Kluyveromyces lactis: one gene and its partner. The protein of the gene in region 1 purifies or fractionates together with the protein of each later gene. This does not show direct contact. Links are inferred from orthologs where the notes say so. Each region holds a gene or a part of one and is shown on either strand. Other genes may lie near its edges.

Region 1 (3,356 bases):
GGCTAAAGATGGCACCGCCATTCATTTATCAAAATAGTTGTTGCGTTTGTTAGTAAAAACATGGTTTCGGAAAGAATAAAATGACTAAGTAAGCAATCACAGATATGTACCTAAAACACGAAGCTATGCAATTGCGCACTCAATTCCAGGAAGTATGAAAAGAAATTCTATTCACATCATTCTGACATACCGATAATAATGTTGATAATCTTAGCAGAATCCATCTTGAAGTTGTTGTTTGGTGCTGGTGGCCCCGTTTTGTTTATACGGGCAAGGTTTATTAGATGGTTAAACTCTTTGCCATTTCATTATTTTTATAGTTTGTTTTTTTATTTTTCATTTTTCCCTTTCAGAATTTCCGCTGTTTTGCAATAGGGTCTTGAGATATGCCAATGCTGAAGACCCTCATCCAATAGTGCCAGTAATCACTAAAGAATGATAGTGGTAAATATGTGTATCTGTAACTTCACGTCGAAACCGTTCCATGTTTTGGTCAAGTTGATTTTTATTTCAACTAATCGATTACTATTATTATGACTGTAAAAGGTATCAATAGGGAAAATGTATATAAAAGTAGATACAGTACTTTTCTCTAGGCCTTTAAAGCTTTTTTAACGATGGTTTCCATTTCATCCAGATCATCGGTTGGGACTTTAGTAATTTCGATATCACCAAAGTACTTTTGTATAGCCGATAGTACTTCGAACGATTTCTTGTCGTGAATGAATGAAATAGCCACACCGGTACGGCCAAATCTACCGGTACGACCGATTCTATGAACATAGGTTGAAGGGTCTGCTTGTCCATTAGGTAGTGTAGGGAGATCGTAATTGACGACCATGGAAACGGATGGTATGTCGATACCACGAGCTAAAACGTTTGTTGTGATCAAGACCTTGGATCTACCCTCTCTGAAGTCATCGATCAATCTATCTCTATCTTGACTTTGTAAGTCACCATGCAAGATTGATACCTGGTGGCCCTCCTTTTTAAGTTTTGCATATAGCAAGTTGGCAGTTTGCTTTGTTTTCACGAAAATAATGGAAGAACCAATGGTTAATAGACCATAAAGTTCAGATAATATTGTGTATTTGTGTTCTTCGTTGTCACAGTCCATGAACAATTGTTTGATGGCACTAACGTTGACCTCATTCTTTTGTAATTCTAAAGAAACTGCAGTTGGGATGATCTTCTTGGCATATTGACGTACCCCGTCATCAAAAGTGGCAGAGAACAACACTAATTGACATGTCTTGGGTAAAAATTTCTTCACACGGATACATTGATCACCTAGACCTTGTTTGTCTAACATATTATCTGCTTCATCCAACACGAAGACTTTGATTGATCCCAAGTTTAACATTTTTCTACGAATCAAATCGAGAACTGTACCAGGTGTACCGACAACTATGTTTGCAGTTATCGGCTTATTTCTTTCGAATGAATCCGGAACCACTAATTGTGAAGAAGTCTTAGTAAATTTACCCATTTCTTGGATAACTTCTAAAGTTTGTCTAGCCAATTCTCTCGCTGGTGATAGACAGATGGCCTGTGTTGAATTGACATTTGGATCTACACGAGTCAACATTGTCAATGAAAATGCTGCCGTCTTACCCGTACCAGATTGTGATTGTGCAATCATGTTATGTGGAGGATCTCTAATCAATAATGGTAAAGCTTTCTCTTGAATCTTAGATGGCTTTTGGAACTTCATTGCATACAACCCTTTCAAAAGCTCCTCAGATAGACCAAGCTCTTCAAAAGACTTTACACTATACAATGGTGAGTTTGCATCTGCCTGCAAATCGGCAAGATTAACCTTCACTTCGTATTCAGAGTTAATAACCTTGTTTGCTGGTTCTTCAGCTTTAGTCTCTTTAGCATCTTCCTTCTCAACCTTAGTTTCAGATGTTGTGTCATTGTCCTCAGATGCCTTTTTTGCAGGTTCTTTGATGTTCAAACGAGCCATCAAATCACTGGCTTCTTTGCTTAGCTGTGCCATCTTGAAGTGATTTTTTGGTTTCACCGATGGGTATGCAGTGTCACAAATTAGCAAAGACAACTTCAATAGCTTACCTCTGCTATTCTATGTCTTTAATACTTCTGTAGTTTTCAATTTCTGCAGCTTTGTAAATTTTAAACCAACGAAAGATGGAGGAAATATAGTTACCCTACCTGGTGAATAATACTAGTTACAATCGAACTAAACGAATAAATATTTATATACTGTTAATATGTGATGTAATAACTGCACTTAAGGCAGTACTGTGCAAGATATGGTCATAAATTTAGCTTGGTACGCAGTTGAAGGGATAGCATTAAAAAAAAAAAAAAAAAAATATATATATATATATGTTCATTAGAATGAGAAAGTTTTCCGTAATTGTAATTTCCAATTGATCATGACTGGATTCTGTTTGCACTGACATTGTCAGGTGTCCAATCTAAACCTAGTCTTTGGTACACTTGCAGTTGGCAATGGGACCAGACCATTGACTTTTCGTCTTTTGTTAAAGACACTTTCGTAGGTACTTCGACTAATGGCACAGGAGCTTGTTGTTGTTGCTGTTGCAAAGCCTGTTGCTGTTCAAGTTCCAATTGTTCCTCGATCTTGATTTGAGAGTTTCTTAGTAGTGCCCTTCTGAGCAGCGAATTCTTAGACTTCTTCGGTATTATTGATGGAGGTGGCATATTAGGTTTCTTTACAGTATTTTGCTGCTGAAGAATCATGTTTTGTTGGAGAGCTTGTTGTTTCAGTTGATCTAACTTCCATTTTTTGTACTCAGAACAAGCCTTCTTGAAATCAAATCTACATTGTGCCTCAACTACAATGTTAAGTAAGTAGTTCTCTATAATGTTTCTCCATTCAGGCTTCGATAGTTGCATGACTGGTTCGTGATGGCCTATTAGCTCTTCGTGTCTTTTCCTAGCTGAATTGACTGTATATTTGGCACTGGTTAGCTTAAACTCGTAGTCAAGATTAGCTTCGATATAAAGATCAGAACTTACCAACGTCGATATGATGAATTCATCTGGGGAATTCAGTGGTAATAACTGGAACCTGAACTCAGGAATAGATGGTTCCGTACCATTGTTACCCTGCAGTTGATTGAATGCTATGGTAGGAAGTTTCCCGTTCCATTCGGGCCTCAAGGACTCTATTATGAGTAACGACCTTATATCATTAATATCCCAATCTAAAAGTTCTCTCTTAGTAAAGTTCGGCCTTCCGTTGCTCATCAAATTTTGAGGATTCATCAAAATATCTGGGCTGTACATGTCGTAGAATATTGTTGGTAAAGCTTGCTCTAGTGTAAGTGTCAAAGGTTTCGAGTCCTGTTGATCTATCACAGATG
Region 2 (2,547 bases), on another chromosome or scaffold:
AGTGTAGACTGTCAATTGAAAACAATCAGAAATGGTCGTCTTACCGATTTCTTAGGTACTGGCTCTAGGAAATGGAGTGAATAGCGCAGTTTTGTGCTTTGTGCGGTAGACGGAATAAACTGTATAGGCAACCAGTAAAAGGATCTACGAGTGAACTAGTAAGTTACAAAGTGGAATTGATTGGCCCATTATAAAGGCTGTGCAGGAGTCCGAACATCTCAGAAAACCATTTACAAAATGAGCTGCCTACCTACATGGTTCTTTCTTTTTATTCACACAAGTTGCACCAATCGATGTGCTTGTTTCGAGTGAGCAAGTAGCTGATTTTCATTTTCTTTTTTTTTTTTTGGCCTTAGGGAAAACTTACTAGGAACATGAAAAGGTAGTTGTTATAATGGATTGTAGTGGGTAGGTAGGTTGAGGCATTTCTGGTACATTCCGTATATTCGAGTGTGCTCGCTGTACCCTCTGCAGGTGTACTGGCTCCCAATATTATTCTTTTTTTTCGTTCAAATTGTGAGAAACAGAGAGAGAGAGAGAAAACGAAACGGCATCCTGTAATTACCCGAAGCAATATTGGGTCATATACCTGCTAAAACCCGGTCAATATTGACGTACTTTCTTTTCGGAATAACAAGTATGCAGCTGTGACACGCCGTGATTGCAACATTGTCTGGAATTCCTATGTTATTTCCCATTTTATTATTCGTTGAAACAATTGTGTTGTCTGTTTCCTAAGTGATGCGAGTTACCACAAGGCTCTCGAGTATTCACATAAACCAATGCAGGGGGTGGAACATCTCGCGTATAAATCCTATTTAGGAACTTCCCCATTAGGAAATGGAGGAACGGTCTTGAAGTTTTCTGTTTACGGCGAGTTTTCTACGCTTACCAGGTGACTTGAAAATATATGTTCCTGGGACTGCTCACCCGGACATTTTTGTTTTAGTTTTTTTTCCAATTTTTTCTGCATTGCCATTTTGGGTACTTATCTCATTGAAAATGTTCATTTATCTGAAGCATTAACCCATACACCACATGTGTTGGTGAGTAAATACTGTCTTTCAGATGATTTTTTCATTTTCACCATACCAATCGCAGCGATTCGGACGGTTTGACGAATATTGTTCTCATCATCGCTTTACAATCTGGTTCATTATGAACATAAGTGCCATTGGACATACAAGATACTTACTTTAGTTAGTTTTATTATCACCTATAATTTCGAGCTCCCCGACGAACAAATAAAGTAAAAATGGTTGCCATTATCTCCAAGAAGAGAAAGCTTGTCGCTGACGGTGTTTTCTACGCCGAATTGAACGAATTCTTCACCAGAGAATTGGCTGAAGAAGGTTACTCTGGTGTCGAAGTCAGAGTTACTCCAACCAAGACCGAAATTATCATCAGAGCTACTAAGGTTCAAGATGTTGTTGGTGAAAATGGTAGAAGAATCAACGAATTGACCTTGTTGATTGAAAAGAGATTCAAGTACAAGCGTGGTACCATTGCTTTATACGCTGAAAGAGTCCATGACCGTGGTTTGTCCGCTGTTGCTCAAGCTGAATCCATGAAGTTCAAATTGTTGAACGGTTTGGCCATCAGAAGAGCTGCTTACGGTGTTGTCAGATACGTTATGGAATCTGGTGCCAAGGGTTGTGAAGTTGTCATCTCCGGTAAGTTGAGAGCTGCTAGAGCCAAGTCCATGAAGTTCGCTGACGGTTTCTTGATCCACTCCGGTCAACCAGTCAACGACTTCATTGAAACCGCTACCAGACACGTTTTGTTGAGACAAGGTGTTTTGGGTATTAAGGTTAAGATCATGAAGGACCCATCTAGAAACACCTCTGGTCCAAAGGCTTTGCCAGATGCTGTTACCATCATCGAACCAAAGGAAGAAGAACCAGTTTTGGAACCTTCTGTCAAGGATTACAGACCAACTGAACCAGTTGAAGCTGCTGAATCTGCTTAAATCAATTGATATCTGTTTGATTCTATATTATTAATTAGTCTATTAAATACCGTTCTTATATGTATAAATATTAAGAAACTCATCAATTCTTTTAAAAATAAGTAATCTATGCCCAGATGACATCGATTAAAACGTCCTGCTTTTATCAATGGATTTTTAAAATGATTTATCGATAGCGCCTTCCGATAATGCCTTTCCGCCTTTCAGTTCCTTTATCTTTCATACTAATCAAAAAAATTCGGTGGGCAAAAATCATGTAAATTATTAAAAAAAAAGAGAATATATAGTGCGTACTGAAAAAACCAATGGCTCAATTATAGATGAATTGTTAACCATTTAATACCACACGTAGGGTCTATACGTTCCATTTTTAAGAGAACGTAGGTATCGCTCACTAAACACATTGACTGAAAGTAAATATGGGCCTAACTTATAAGGATTTTTGTGCTGTAGGTACAGCATTGATCATTGGATCAACTACTTTTTTGATGGGGATCTTCTTTTCTAATCAACCATATGACTATAATATCCTATTCAATCCTGCTGCCACGCCGGAGCATTTTGAGAACGCTTTGAAA

What was found. The genes of interacting proteins can lie anywhere in the genome.
Region 2: the proteins of DBP5 (region 1) and RPS3 purify together in Saccharomyces cerevisiae (affinity purification with western blotting; 3 studies listed by BioGRID, with this or other methods). This does not show direct contact. The link is inferred for Kluyveromyces lactis from reciprocal best matches to the Saccharomyces cerevisiae genes DBP5 and RPS3.

Annotation. Positions count from the first base shown.
Region 1 is NC_006042.1:1,475,759-1,479,114, reverse strand, and holds DBP5 (ATP-dependent RNA helicase DBP5), read right to left. Parts: upstream 2,003-3,356; coding exon 593-2,002; downstream 1-592. Other genes in the region: STD1 (Std1p), read right to left, coding at 2,401-3,356. UniProt on the Saccharomyces cerevisiae protein: ATP-dependent RNA helicase associated with the nuclear pore complex and essential for mRNA export from the nucleus. May participate in a terminal step of mRNA export through the removal of proteins that accompany mRNA through the nucleopore complex.
Region 2 is NC_006040.1:705,047-707,593, reverse strand, and holds RPS3 (40S ribosomal protein uS3), read left to right. Parts: upstream 1-1,255; coding exon 1,256-1,969; downstream 1,970-2,547. Other genes in the region: SHR3 (Shr3p), read left to right, coding at 2,389-2,547. UniProt on the Saccharomyces cerevisiae protein: Component of the ribosome, a large ribonucleoprotein complex responsible for the synthesis of proteins in the cell.